Solanum lycopersicum: one gene and its partner. The protein of the gene in region 1 interacts with the protein of each later gene in a pairwise test. Links are inferred from orthologs where the notes say so. Each region holds a gene or a part of one and is shown in the gene's direction. Other genes may lie near its edges.

Region 1 (8,024 bases):
AGCACTATCGATACATTATAGAATTATTGCTAGGAATATGAGTACATAGGTGAACTCATGTTCCTTCGTATAGATACACTACTCTTAATACTTTATCATTTACGTGATTTCAACATTTAATCGTATCGACTAGTATTATTACAAGGAAGATGAATACATAGATAGTGAACTCATGTTCTTTCATATAAATACACTTTTTATCAATTAATATTCATATTTATCATTTACGTTACTTCAATATGCAAATGTATCGACTAATAAGGTAGACGTTAAATTATTAGACCCTCTCACAACTCATTATATGATCCCATCTCAAAATAAGTGATATGATATCCAATCATTAAAATATAAAATTCTGAATCCATCTCGATATTTATTAACCATGTGATCACCAACCTTTCTTGAAATCCAAATAAGCTTGGTAGACTTGATTTGAAGTAGGAAGTGACTTGGATACTGAGTCTCTATTCAAACACCTTTCTCCCCACATCACTAACTTGGGGCATTGTATTTCAATTGTGTTGAAATTTGCAAAGGTCTTGAAGACAATGAACCAATTGTAGAAAGGAACAAGTGCAATGTCTACAAATCCAAATACATCTCCTCCAAAATAAAGTTTATCTCCAAGTTCTTCTTCCAAAAACTTTGAACATTCTACAAGTTCTTTCTTGCCATTTTCTTGCTCTTCAATTTGCCCCATCCATACCTTTACACTTGACCCATGTACCTAAAATTAATGCTCTTTGTAGGGTTATTCCTTTTAATTTTTCTTAAACTTTATATCAAGTCAAAAAAATAAACAAATTAAAACAAAAAAAAAGTATTAATTTATATTATATCTTCTCTGTTTAAAAAAAGAATGACCTAATTTTATTTGAAACAGAATTTAAGAAAAAAAAAGATAATTTTTAATCTCGTGATTCTAACTTTAATTTAAGTCAAATATATCAAAATATTCTTTAATCTTATGGTCTTAAACATGTATGTGAAAAGTTAAAATATTATCAAAAAAAGGTTATAATCATTCTTTTTGAAACAAACTAAAAAGAAACTAAGTTCATTCCTTTTTAAATGAATGAAATAATATATATGCATTGAATGATTAAATTCTGCATAACTACGTATAACTGATTCTTAGATACTAATACATATGTAACTCTAACCACCAATAAAACAACCCTGAATCTATACAAGGTAATGAAATCACACAAACATATATGAAATGAATTAAGGAAGAGTTAAAAAGTCCTTTACCTTTTTATTGATAAAGTCAACCAAGAACCTAGCTTTAGCTCTTTGATAAGGTTCATAGGGCAATAAGGGAGAATTATTTTTCCAAATCTCATCAATATATTGAATAATGATATTTGATTCACAAATAGATTTACCCTTGTGAACAAGAACCGGTATTTTGTGATGAACCGGGTTCATTTCCAAAAGCAAAGGACTTTTATTAGACAAATCCTCAAACTTGTGGATGAAATTGACTCCCTTTTCAACTAGGGCAATTCTTGCCATTGTTCCAAAAGGACTAGCCCAATAATCTAAAAGTACAACTTCTTCTTCTTGTGTCATGTTTTTTTTTTTGTTGAAAAGTTAGGGATATTAGTAGACTTGTAAGAAGAAGAGGTAATTAAGAGTGTTGAGGGTTTTTGTGATTCTTTTTATGGTGTGGTAGAGTCATTAAGGAGATAATTAACAAGAAAGGGATAATTATGTAAATATTTGAATTTTTTATTAATCGAGTCTTTTTCTGTATGATTCTTTTTATGGTGTGGTATAGTCATTAAGGAGATAATTATCATTTGATTGAGACAAGAAAGGGATAATTATGTAAATATTTGAAGTTTTTACTAATTGAGCTTTTTTTTTGTGTGATTTTTTTTATGATGTGTTAGAGTCATTAAGGAGATATTTATCATTTGATTGAGACAAGAAATGAACAATTATGTAAATATTTGAATTTTTTACTAATTGAGTCTTTTTTTCCTTTTGTGTTAAAGACTAGTTAATTAGAGGATTATTGGTTTGTGGCTTAACCAAGATTTGAATCTTTATATATAATGGTGTATTTATTTAAATTGATAGCTGAGAACTTGTTTGATTTGAGTGTAATCTTACTTGTTAAAGATGTTGAAGAAACTATTAATGTAATATGGATTTATTTTTAAGCTATCGTTATATTCATATTTATTATATCATATCACCACTAATCACTTTTTATCATTACAATTATTATTATCATTGGTAACTATTTGTTATCATCATCAATAACTATTTTCATCATTACGATCATTATGTAAAACAATATTGAAACTACTCCTGCGACTCTTTTAAAGAGTTCGAATCCTATATTAACTAACAATTCTATGGACAAGGGATGATTTAGTTTTAATATGATTAGATCTCCTAAGTCATATATAACTTATACTTTATTGTTATATATAAATGTTGAAAGCTACATAGATAATACATCACTTCGTACTTTTTTTTGAATCAATATCATAGATTGTTAATTATTATTATCAATCGTTATTATATCTACCATCTTTATCATTATAATTATGTACCATTGTCACTATCAATAAGATCAGACATTATCTACCTCTATTATCACGTGTAATTAAATAAATTCGTAAAATATTAATCGAAGTCAATCAAAAAATAAGTTTTGTTAAACTTATAAATAATTTAATATAACTAGTATTGTCGATACCACATCTACAAGGTAACCTCTTTTTCCTTTTTAAAAAATAAAACATTTCCATGTGAAAAAAAGTTATTAAATTTTTAATGATATATTAAATTAGACATGAAAAATAATTCAATTATGTCTGCCATTGGAGTCCAATTCAGTCAACTTGACAAAAAAAAAACCCAACTGTTTGACCCGTGAAATTACAAATTGGGTCATTTCCTTTTCTAGCCAACTCCATTGTTTCACTTTCCCTTTTGATCATCATCAATCTTCATCACTTTTTTTCGCCCCAATTTTTTTTTTTTTTGGCCACGATGGGATCTCTTCTCCGGATGAATCGCCTTGTAAGTCTCATAAACCCTAACTAGTTTTTTTTAGTTTTTTTTGCTAATTTTGACTTTTAATTGCTGAAAAATAGTCTTATTGAAGTGTTTTTTTAGGTTTACTTGTTGTTAATTAGCTTCACTTGTGATAATGTATTTAAAGTTCGTGATGAATCGTTTTGAATGTTGAATTTCAGCTCATTTTTGTAGATTGTTTTGTTTATAATAACGATTGATTTTTGGTGATTAACTAGCTGAAATTGATTAATTTACAATAAACTAAACTGAATAAATTGAAGTTTCCAGGCAGTAACTGAGGTTTGGTTTTTCATGGAGCAAGGTTATTAGTTTTTGGATAGTGGGGTTTGGAATGATTAATGTATAAATGAACTGAAATTGCAACCAATTAATGATTTTTAGAGTTTATTTGCTTTTGTTGTGATGATGTCTTCATGATTATGATCATTCTTTTTTTGGAATATGTTCTTATGGGTTGAGTTTGTGGGATGAATGTAAAGTTCAACTCATTTGCGCATGTTCTTTTTATTTATCCCCGTAAGACTGATTTCGGTGTTTAACTAGCTCAGATTAGTTAGTCTACAACTACATGCCAAGTGTAATCCGACAAAATGGGATCTAGGGAAGTAAGAGTGTAAGCAGACCTTATCAGTTATCCCTACCTTACCACAAATGAGATTTGGGATAAGATGTGTATCCGTCATCTCTAGTGGTTCACTATCTGAGGAATAATTCATGGAAGAAGCCTATAGTAAACACATTCGCTAAACATATCTCAAGGTGGTATGAAAGAAGAAATAAATGAAGATTAAAGGCATGTGAGAGTGATAAAAACAAACCAAAAGTTGTTAATGGGGAAGAGTTCAAATTGAGAAATAATTTCATGTGTTAAGTATGCACAAGAAAAATATGTCACATGCGGTGAAAACTTTGCACTAACCGCATGTGCCACAGTTTTCCCAAGTTAAGAGAATCTAATACTAGTAAAATATAACTCAAACAAATTCAAACCATCAAAAAATGGGGAAGTGAACATTTAAACGAATAATATCGAGGATGTTACATACTAATAAAATGAGCATAATATTTGGATGATGAATAATATCTTTGAAGTGCTGAATAATGATTGTATGACTATCACTCTGGGGAAACAAATTATTCTGAAATGCTTTGTCACTGAAAGTGAATATGACGTCATTGAAATTTGGAGGATCTAAGTAGATTCATGCTTTCTTACATCATATGTTCTTTTCTATTGTAATGTTGGTTTCTATAGCATCATTATATTGCTCAAATTTATTTCACAGTTCTAACCACATAACCTATTTTCAGAATTTGTATTTGTTTTGTCCCACAAAATAATGAACATTAAGACCAAGCATGTGCATGTCATACGTTCGGTAACGTGTACATTTTGCCTTTTTTTTCCTTTTTAAAGAGGTCATGGGCTTCGTCATTATTAATACAAAATGGACAAAGACACGTGAATGATATGCTCTAGTAAATATGCTCCTCATTAACCATAGGCAGCTCTAGTAACAGTAGATGTTTAGAAGAAGGAACACATCAAACCAAGATATCAAGAAGAAAAAAGTGACCAAATCCGTCCCTAAATATTTTCTTTCTTTATTGTCTATATATGTATATATTTTATGACATCCAATAATAATAAATGTTAGCGTAGATGGTCAAGACCTCATAATTTATTTTTGATGAAGAGACCTCATAATTTATTTTGTGAACACGATTCATACGTTCTAGTGTATTTAGCCATTGGTTGATGCATAAGACAAAAATTCTTGTTGTTTGTCGTTCACCACATGTGAAAATCAAATTATAGATAATGAAAATCAGATTATAGATGACTATTGAACAGATGAAGAACTACAAAATAGATGTAAATATGATTCTTTTACTTATCCTCCGTAGATGCCATAAAAATCAAGTACTCAGTTCAAGTTTTTAAAATAAATCATTAGAAGTAGGAAAACATTAGCTAGACTTAACAGTTTAAATTTTTGCTTCTTCTTGAAGGACTTAGTGTGGGGCTTCCATCGTTTTTTGTGAGAAATCTCCTGAAAATGAAGGTGAAATTGGCATTGTTAATAATACCATGTTTAGGATAATGTAAGGTGGCAACTATTCATTGGGAGAAATTATTGTCAAAGCGGTTTCTTTTCTTCCGTTGGCTGCATTAGGTGTCTTTTGAAGTAGGTTATAGGTGTCTTTTGAAGTAGGTTATTTAGGTTAGGGATATTTAGGTAATAACTTTTAAGTTTTTGAGTTCATGCTTTCAGTATAATATAGATCGGTCTCTAACCATATTTTTACTTGTGATCAAGCCATAGATACCGGTAAGAAGAGAAATAGATGATAAAAATGATAATTATAATTTTTTTTTGTATAACAAGCTGTTCGTTTTCTATTTAATTCATAGAAAATATATGTTCTTGGGAGTCCCTGATGGTTAAATACAACAAGATTCACCATGACTGCTACTTTAGAGAAACACTTGAGTGAAAGCCTATAAAATTGCATCTGTAACTGGATACCTACATTGAAAACCATCGTTCACGCTTCGATTTTGATCATTTTGGACTAGCAGCACTATCCTTGTATACTAGACAGGCTACTGTGATCATATTCTCTCTGCTATGATCAATAATGGGCTCAGAAAGCAGCTCTAATATTAATTGCAATAAACTAAACTTGCAATCTATAGAGAGAAAAGGAAAAGTTCATTTAATTGGTAAAATTGTGTAAAGCTCTCAGTACAATAATTCAAAAGGGAGATGATACAAGAGAAAGGGATTAAGAGGCAACTCCATCAACTGAGTTTTGTTTACCCAATGATTGATTTCATGCCAGAATGAATCGAGGAAACAAGGATGTCTATAATGTCAACAATCCCTCCACTCCTGCAGGAAGGTGAAAGGAGAGAAACTGGGAGAGGAAGAAAAGAGGAACTTTACCACTCCTCTGTTCTAATCTATGTGAAGGTGTTTGACTGTGCTCGACGTTTAAGAATGAAAGGAAGACTTTTGAGACTTGTTGTTCAAAGTAAGCCATTGTTAAGGGTAAAATGTGAAATTTAAAGTTTAATTGTTACTAAATATAGAAATATGTCTCTTTTTGGGGCTTATTTTAAAGGAAAGAGTGTCACATTAATTGGGACAAAGGGATGCATTTTCTGTCCAAAATTAAGATGTATATACTTAGATGCAAGTGGCACCATAGATCTGGTACTACCAAAAGGTATCCAATTAATCCATGCTTGGCCTCCCATTACAATGCCTGTAAGAAATAATTGTTCTTTCCACCTCCACAACTAATTGTCGAACTATTATATCTATCTTTATTCCCTTAAATGTGAAACGAATTACACAGACTATTTGGCGCTACTTTTTTCCTAGATATATTGAAGACCTAGTTTCTTATATTTGTGGGAAGCATTTGGAATTTTCTATAAGAACTATATCATGTTCGAAAACATTCTTATAATTTTCGACAAGATTGCTGAAGGAGTGTCTTATCTTTTATGTATTCTTGACTAGAGGAGTTTAATAAAAAGAAAATAGAAAGGAACAAAGAAACGTACAAGTGTATAAAAGGAGTTGGGGCAAAGACATCAGAAACATTTAGACCTACGATTTCATCCTACATGTTATGGTTTTAGTTCGTTAGAGGTTTTAACATATTAAATCAGCAAAGTTGTGACATACATAAAGTGCATAACATAAAGATGAAATTCACAATTTGCTGATCTTTTGGTGCAAGGGAACTATTTTTTACACTATAAGTTAGCTGTTAATTTCAATATTGGCTTCTTCTACACCTTGTTGTTCTTGAGTATAATTCTATTTTCACAAACATATGTCAGAACTTATGCTGCAATTAAATATATTCAGGTTGTTTAACTCTTGTACAGCTTGTTATTCTTCTGAGGCATATTTCCTTCTCCTTATTTGCTAACTTGTGCTGCAGTTATCTTCCATCGTGGAGTCATGTAACTGCATCATTGACCCACAGTTGCCTGCTGACGACTTGCTAATGAAGTATCAGTACATTTCTGATTTTTTCATAGCACTTGCTTATTTCTCCATTCCAGTGGAGTTGATATACTTCGTTAAGAAGTCTGCTGTCTTTCCATATAGATGGGTTCTTGTGCAGTTCGGTGCTTTCATAGTTCTTTGTGGAGCAACCCATCTTATCAACTTATGGACATTTAATATGCATACAAGGAATGTGGCAATAGTAATGACTACTGCAAAGGCCTTGACTGCACTGGTGTCATGTATAACTGCTCTCATGCTTGTCCACATCATTCCTGATTTATTAAGTGTCAAAACTAGAGAACTGTTCTTGAAAAAGAAAGCTGCACAGCTTGACCGTGAAATGGGTATTATTCGGACTCAGGAGGAGACAGGTAGACATGTTAGAATGCTAACTCATGAAATCCGAAGCACTCTTGATAGACATACTATTTTAAAGACTACACTTGTTGAGCTAGGAAGAACATTGGCATTGGAAGAGTGTGCATTATGGATGCCAACACGTACTGGACTAGAGCTTCAGCTTTCTTACACTTTACGACACCAAAATCCAGTTGGATTAACTGTACCCATTCAACTTCCTGTAATCAATCAAGTTTTCGGTACAAATCATGTCGTGAAAATATCACCAAATTCTCCTGTCGCAAGACTTCGACCTGCTGGGAAATACATGCCTGGTGAGGTGGTTGCTGTCAGGGTTCCACTTCTGCATCTGTCGAACTTTCAGATTAATGATTGGCCTGAACTTTCAACAAAGCGCTATGCTTTAATGGTTCTGATGCTTCCTTCAGACAGTGCAAGACAATGGCATGTTCATGAGCTGGAGCTTGTTGAAGTGGTAGCTGATCAGGTTTGATTTTTGTTATTGAAAATTCCTTAATATAATGTTAAAATTTCTCTTTTATATATTTTTGGGTTGAACACAACCACGTT
Region 2 (8,030 bases), on another chromosome or scaffold:
ATCATTATTATTTTAAGAAAATAACATATTGCAACGAATGCGGAAATCTTCAAGAAGACAAATAGGATTACTCATGAAATAATATTAACTAATTTTAGGGGGAGGGCACAAACATGCACGAACAAGTTCTATTTTTTTTTGGATATGTTAAAAGTTTATTACAAGCCTATAGACATGATTTCTAGGTGTTCAAAAAAGTAACACATATATGCATAATTTTGTAAATTTAAATGTTATGAACAATTTAATCCTTAGGCATGGTTTCTACATGACAAGACAATGCTAAAAGTTAGCACCTAATCAACCTACTAAATTATTATGATTTGATTTTAACATTAAAATTAATGAAATCTAGTTATTATTTTTTAGACTTATTAACAAAGCATCAAACAATTGATTGGATTATAACACCTACAAACAATAATTCTAGGTGGTTAAAGACAAACCTATAGGCATGATTTCTAAAAATCTATAATGAACAAGTAAGGAATCTAATAAGAATTAAATTAGGCAAAGTAATATATTTTTATTTTTTTTAAATAAAGAAGAGTCCAAAATCAGATTTTAAATTATTATTATGTTACCAAAATAAACAAATAAGAATAAATTAGGAAGACTAATATATTTCCTTAAATACAGAGAAATCAAAATAACAAATGTTTCAAGATCAGCCAAATATAAATTTACTTGAATATATATCAGTAAGCATCAAATCAGCCTTAATTAAGGCATCTACAATCAATTACCAAACATTAATAAGCAAAAATCACCTTACCATAAAATCTTCTAGGATTCGTACAGGCAACAAAATCATCTTAGTACCACTAAATCGATATCAATCAAGCAAGTAAGAGGGAGGAGAAACAGTGAGATAACAGTATTACATGAAAAATATGTATTAATCCGTCATATAAGCAATCTATAGTTATTTACACCAACGATAAATGTCAACAGAGCAACATTAGTAAGTCAAATGATATAATAATCAATAACTCCAAGATTAATTTAAAAAGTAAGAAAGCCAAAAAGAAATACTCGGTTTGGAGCCAATTAATATCTCCACCGAATCAGACTCAAGAAGGGAAGAGAGTAAGAGAAATTTCTAATATCTCATGAACAGATTAAGAACAAGAAACTACTAATTCATAGTATAATCAAGTATGCAAGAATTTGAAAGCTACCAGTAAACCCACATAGAAGCAAACATGAAAAAATAAATCCTAAGTTCTAGTGGTCAAATTAACAAATTTATTAAAGGATGAAACAAGTTTAAACAAGAACTAACCTTCACGAACATGAGACCTTTGAACAACGCCAAATCTCGTTGTTTCTGGTTGCTGTTCACGCTGGCCGGAGCTGCTGCTTGCTCCCACCGATGATCGCAACTGCTGGATTTTCGCCCGTGACTGCTTGCTGCTCTCCTCGCTAGGTTGCTGGTTTCGCTGGAGGCTTCACCAATGGTCGCTTCTCGCCGGGAGGAGATGGAAGAAGCGGATGAGAGGAGGAAGAGAGGGGGCGCTGGGGCTGCTGGTCGGAGAAAGGCGAGAAGAGAGGGGAAGCGGCTGTGTTTGGAGCTGTTGTCGCTGCTGCTGGTGGCGCTGGAGTCGGAGTTGTTGGCTGGCGTCGGAGTTGTTGGCTGGCGTCTTCTCCGCCGATGGGGCTGCTGGTCTTGGCCTGCTACTCCTGTCTGCGGCTCTCCAAGCGTTGCTGCTACGCGCACTGCTGGTGCCTGGTTCTGCTGTTTTCGCCAGCAAAATGGAGAGAACGAAAGGGAGAAGGGAAGGAGGAGGTTGGGCGACGGGAGAAAGGAGACAGAGAAGAAGGAGGGAGAAGAGGAGGAAGAACAAAGGGGAGATGCAATAGCTGCCAGCGGCTGCTGGCTTCAACGACGATGGAGGATCTCGCCGGCAAGAATGGGGGAAAAGAGAGAAGCGGCTGCCAAGGAGGGGGGGAAGAGAAGGAGAGAAAAATGTTTTAGGGTTTTTTTTGGGGGTCTTTTGGTGTTGTGAAAAATAAAGATTTAATCACAACCATGAGATTAATAAGAGATGAAGGATTAGGATTCGATCTAGGATTTATTTTTTAAGATGGACGGATAAGATCAAAAGATGAAGTTTTGAAATTAGATTGGCAAAGATATAGAATGGCTAAAATTGCAATTAAAGTGGCTAGAATTGAAATGAAAGAGTGACTATGATTGTAATAAAAAACTTAATTGGAATTGGCTAGAATTGGAAGAAATTAGAATAGAATAGGCTAGAATTTAAATAATATTTATTAAAATACTACATACATTAAAATATTTTTTTTGTATAATTGAAAATCATCTAAATTTTAAAACATTTGAAATACTATTTACAATAATTTTATAAAGTAAATGATACTAAAATATATAATTTTTGAGAAAAATCAACTAAAACTTTCAAACTTTAAGTAAATTTTAAAATACGTATTTAGTCGAATATAATCCTAAAAATGGTTAAAGGTCGGTCAAAATTGGGTGTCAACAGACACACAAGTAAAAATTGTCATAACTTGCATAGTGCTACATAATTATTTGCAAGAATACCAAAGTAGCAATGAAATATTTATGGTCTATGAGTACGAAAATATAGTTGCGAATGATATTGACCAATAAATGACTCAACTAACAATGTTGATTCGTCTTCTCGGTCATATGATCAAGAAATGCAAGTTCAACATGAGGAGATTGTTCATACTATATAGGGGAATATATATTTAAAACTAATACACTACAATTCATGTTCAATTTTTTTAATTGAATTAAAGTCTGATCAATGAAAGTTAGATGAAACAATTATTTAAGTGGAGAACAAATAACTTTATAGTAATTTATTATGCAATTTTATAAAAAAAATTATTTTGTAAGAATGAATAAACAATTGGGACTATTTTAATAGTGTTACATCTTATGAAATTCTTATGTTTATGAGAAAATATACAACAGAAAAATTTCATATTGTATATCCATACAAAACTTTAATTTCATTTCATGATTTCATATCACATAACTAAACAAGCCCTAAATATTATTTTTTTTCTAAATTTAAGCACTAATGGTGAGTACAATTTTATCCTATCATAGTTATAAACTCAAAAAGTATTTCACGTGAAAAACTTTTTGCTCTAAAAAAGTCAAAAATAACATCTTACTTTTGTAGGATTTTGTAAAACTTATTTCACTAAATTTAAAATAGATTTATAATCACGCTAGTAACATCTAAAGAATTGTCTCCAAAAGTTTTGAGCGATTCTTTTAATTGTCTTGTGACCGAACTGGTGCTGGTCAAACGAATAGTTGTATTTATGTTATTAAAAAAATTGGCATTTTCAAAATAGGTATAAAAACATGGTCTTTTTAAAATATTGGTCTAAATACATAGAATGTCAAAGTAGATAGGCTAGGATAATAAATAATTCATCTAAATGGAGCTTTTAATTTTGTTTATATAACAACTCAAAATAAAACAGATAAAGTGGGAACCACATGAGGCTTTTCTTTGTAATGTCTAGGGTGGGCCCCAGTTCATGCATCTAACCCAAATTCTATCTTTCCCTCATTTTCAAAATAAAATAAAATTAGTCGATAAATAATAACCAATAATAATAATAATGTTTGAATAGTATAATGGAAAATGTGAAAAAGTAAATATTTTTATATGTATGTTCGACACTTACCCCCATTGCTTTCTTGTGTGCTTCATCAATCAAAGAAAAGGGCTAAGCAAAAACTGTTTTCATCACTTTGATTTCTTTGCTTCATTTTGAAGGTACCATTTTCTTCTTGTTCATTAATTCTTGAAATTTAGTTATTTTAGAATCCATGAAGATTTCATTTTTTGAGTAAGTAAGACAAAGGGGTTTTAAGGTTTTGATTGTTAATTGCCATATATAGACTTGTGAGCTCTTTAGATTTTTTTCATTAATGTAGTTGATGTCACTAGATTCTTTGAAGTTAGAAGCAATAGAAAAACTTTTTTTTTGGTTTTGGTTTTTTCAGATTATCCTTGAGCTAGATAGGGTTCTGTGCAACTTGTTTAACAATGTTGTTGGTGATTTGAAATTCAAAAGCAGTTTTGATTTCATCTTGGAGAATGTATGTGTTGTCTTGGTTGATAGAGGAAATTCCAAAAGCAGTTTTGATTTCATCTTGGAGAATGTATGTGTTGTCTTGATTGATAGAGGAAGATGGCAAACAAGTAAAGCTTTTCAATTCTTTTAACTCAATTGATGATCAACTTTAAATGAATTCGGTAAAAAAACAAAATTGTAATTTAGTAAGATATGTGTAGTTTGATTGTAGTGTTATTTAGTTGTAATATTGCCCTCTTACTATCTGTTGTTTGTTACTACCTATTGTCTTTTGTACTTTTATTGTGTCTATTTCTAGTTTGTTTATGTCTTGAGCGAGGGTCTACTGGAAACAACATCTTGGCTGAGGTAGATTAAGGTATGGTACACTCTACTCTCCCCCGAACTTCAATCTGTGGGAACACTTGGTATGTTGTTGTTATTTAGTAAGATAGACTGCAAATGAGTGAGTTTTTGGGAGGAAATGCAATGCAAGTCTTAACCACTATGAAGTTAATGATTCCCTTATCACTTGTTGCTTGAATTGATGGGTGCCGTAATACATTTTATCAGGTCCTGGTATAGCAACTTGTCAAGGTGTCCACAAAAAGCTTTAAGGAAGTTACATTAGTGTAGAATCCGTTGAAGATAATGCAGAACATCTTTTTAAAAAAAAAAAAGAAGTTGGGGATAGAGGAAGGAGATAACAAGGTGGAGAATTGAACCCTCACTATCCAACTTACTGAGCTACTAAGATTATCCCAAAGAAGAACATCTTATTAATTCCACTTACAAAAAAATGTTGTGATGAAGTAATAATCTTGTTAATGTGGGTAAACTTCCGTGTAGAAGTAATACACCAAAAAGTAGAGAAACCAACAAACTGTCAGAGAGATTAACCAAAAACAGGAGGTTATTCTTCAAATATATAAACTTATCATGAACTCTTCCATGCTCTCCTTCCAAAGGATCCATATAAGGGCTACATAGGCTATCTCTCGTGTCCTATGTATTCTTGCTTTCTTCTAAGGTCATCTGTCTAACAGGTCCTTTACTGTGCCCAACATTATCCACTGTACGTGCTCAGGACCAGCTTCCATTCACCACAATTGGGTAACACATGAAAATGCAGCAGTAGGTTGTCCAGATATTTACGGATCTATACATAAAGCACCATCCCGTACATTAGTATTATTCCTGTTTTTTGTGTTTTTAGATTTATTTGTTACTACCGCTTGTTTCTATAGCCTTGATCATTGTATCATCTTATTGTTTTTTTAGTTTGTTCCTGCTTCTTTCTTTTGCATCTTTCTTTGAGCCGAGAGTCTATATGAAACAGCCTCTCTACCTTCAAGTAATTTGTAACTATATAGGCACTTTCTGGATGCTGTGTTAGTAATACAACTACATTTTGACTATCAGTGAAGAAATAATAATGTGAAATCATCCAGTCTGATCGAAACACAAAGCATAAGTTTTAGCTTCTTTCGTTGTAATTGACTGTATGGATATCCCTAGCAGTTTTTTGTAACTTTTGGTTTTGGTACCTTCTTGGTACTTAAGTCACTAAACCTTAACCTCATCAAAAGAAAAAAAAAAAAAAGAGATAGCATCTTTACCATCCAGAAAACAAAACCTATAAGTGCAGGTTTAGAATCACCATTCCATTGAAGTTGTGAAACAATTCACAGTTCCAGAAAATCTTAGTTATTGACAAGAATCACCAAAATACAACATATGAGAGCAAAGAAATACTATGGAAGAAACACAACTGACATAAAACTTATGTCGTAGTAGAGATGTAGATCATAATGAAGATATATTCATTGTTAACAGTCCATGTTAAGTTGGGGCATTCAAATTATGCATTCAAAACAATAGAAAGAGAGTTAAATATTTTAAGCTGTGATAGAAGTTTTCCTGAACTGTATGCTTGCATAAATGGGATCAGTTACCACCTTTTTATATGGATATCCAAGAGAATTTCTGCATTTCTGGAATTGTTGAATTTTAGTTGCATCCAATGAAATGTCTTATTAATTTTGTAATGGCTAAAATCATTTTTCAAGCTTTTTTAACAATCAGTAGTCATGGATGTTTATGCAATTATGCTACATCGGCGGATCAAATAGTGCAGTTGTATAAAGCATAGTGCAATTGGCACCTAATGTTTTTATAGCTGCTTTCACTGATAGTTTGTTTTACTCCTTTTCTTTTCACAGAAACCTTTTTTCATGACTGCAAAATTTCATGTCGCCATATGCCATCAGGAAGACGTTCTTTAATGGATTTGGAACCTGCCTACAAGATGGAGAGCATAAGAGCAGTCCAAGATATTCAGCATGAATTTTGGCCTCTTGATGAAATAAATGGAGAGAATGCTAAGTTCCCCTGTTGTTTAGTTTGGACTCCTCTACCAGTAGTCTCATGGTTGGCACCTTTCATTGGACATGTAGGAATATGCAGAGAGGACGGTTCTGCCGTGGCCTTTTCTGGTTCCAACTTTATTAACATTGATGATTTTGCATTAGGTTCTGTGGCCAAATACCTTCAACTAGACAGAAAACAGGTACAATTTACTGTAGCATGCTCTTAGCCTTTCAATTGTTTGTTGTAGCATTATGTCACTCACTAACCTCTCCCCCCATCTTCCTTAACGCATCGCCCCTACTATTTATATTCACATATAACTTCCAGCAATTCCACCTGAAACACTATGCTTAGTTAGTAGTTACCCCACATAAAGAAATAGGGCAATTTGATCTTACCAACAAAGTATTGACAAGAATTTCTGAATGGTGAATTATTGGACAGTGCTGCTTTCCACGAAACCTTGCTGCACACACATGTAAGCATGGCTATAAACACACAGAGTTTGGGTCTGCAATTACTTGGGATGATGCCATCCAATCAAGCGTTCGTCATTTTGAGCACAAATCGTACAATATATTCACTTGCAACAGCTATTCTTTTGTTGCTAATTGCCTGAACAGGCTCTGCTATGGAGGATCAATGGATTGGAACATGATCAATGTTGGTGCTCTTTTATTGTTCAAAGGACATTGGGTTGACAACATGTCAATCTTGAGATCATTTTCACCTTTTATGCTAGTTGTATGCTTTGGCATTTTCATGGTGGGATGGCCTTTTATGGTAGCATTATTGGCTTTCTCACTTCTTCTTTTAGCATGGTTTATTTTTGGTACTTACTGTCTCAAAAATCTGTTGGATTCCTAGGTTTCTTGTATCACACTGCTACAAGATTAAAATTTGTTAATCCTTAATATGTGAAGAACCCCATAGACTTTGATAACTCTGCACTCTAAAGTCACAAGTGTAGTGGAATTTGGACAATATCAAGTTACCTAATAGATATTCACTTTGATTCAATTTATGACACATTTTTCTTTTTAATCCATTGGAAAAAAGAATGAGTGACAGTTTACCTTAGTTTTGGAACATTATAAAAAAAAAATTATATTTTTAAACTGCGTGTCTAGTCAAAAATCACATTGAAACAACACGACTAGTTATAAATTGTCGTCACTGATACTTGGAATTTGGGGCGTCCATCAGTTAATTCGACTTAATGTATTATTAGTCTAGCTTTCAATTTTTAAATGCACTAAATTAGTAAGATATTATTTTATTGATTTTTGATCTTTAATAGTTTAGTTTTTGATTCGACAAATAAAAAATATTCATAAAATAGTTATATAAAGCAAATCGGTGGCTTGGAGGCTGGAGTTTGAATTTTAGCGCATTAAAATAAAGGCTTTTAAGCTTAGAATTTGTATCTATCGAACAGTTTTTTTATTTAAAAATTATTTTTTATTGCAGATATGGGCAAAAAATGTGTTCCACTCACCTTGAGCGTATATAGCAGTTAAAAATCATATTTTTCTTATATACTTGATAAGTTTTAAAATAAAATAATA

The links.
Region 2: the proteins of ETR1 (region 1) and green ripe-like 1 interact in binary tests that used the Arabidopsis thaliana proteins (3 or more experiments, as listed by UniProt). The link is inferred for Solanum lycopersicum from reciprocal best matches to the Arabidopsis thaliana genes ETR1 and RTE1.

Annotation. Positions count from the first base shown.
Region 1 is NC_090811.1:4,574,052-4,582,075, forward strand, and holds the start of ETR1 (ethylene receptor 1), read left to right. Parts: upstream 1-2,924; 5' UTR 2,925-3,012; coding exon 3,013-3,042; intron 3,043-5,804; exon of another isoform or gene 5,805-6,099; intron 6,100-7,023; coding exon 7,024-7,941; intron 7,942-8,024. Other genes in the region: glutathione S-transferase U25-like, read right to left, coding at 389-727, 1,255-1,575. UniProt on the Arabidopsis thaliana protein: Ethylene receptor related to bacterial two-component regulators. Acts as a redundant negative regulator of ethylene signaling.
Region 2 is NC_090807.1:54,633,775-54,641,804, forward strand, and holds green ripe-like 1, read left to right. Parts: upstream 1-3,703; 5' UTR 3,704-3,791; intron 3,792-4,021; exon of another isoform or gene 4,022-4,803; intron 4,804-5,074; exon of another isoform or gene 5,075-6,314; 5' UTR 6,315-6,352; coding exon 6,353-6,661; intron 6,662-6,906; coding exon 6,907-7,329; 3' UTR 7,330-7,459; downstream 7,460-8,030. Other genes in the region: uncharacterized protein, read right to left, coding at 1,286-1,297. UniProt on the Arabidopsis thaliana protein: Acts at an early step in the ethylene signaling pathway. Positively regulates ETR1, leading to the negative regulation of ethylene responses.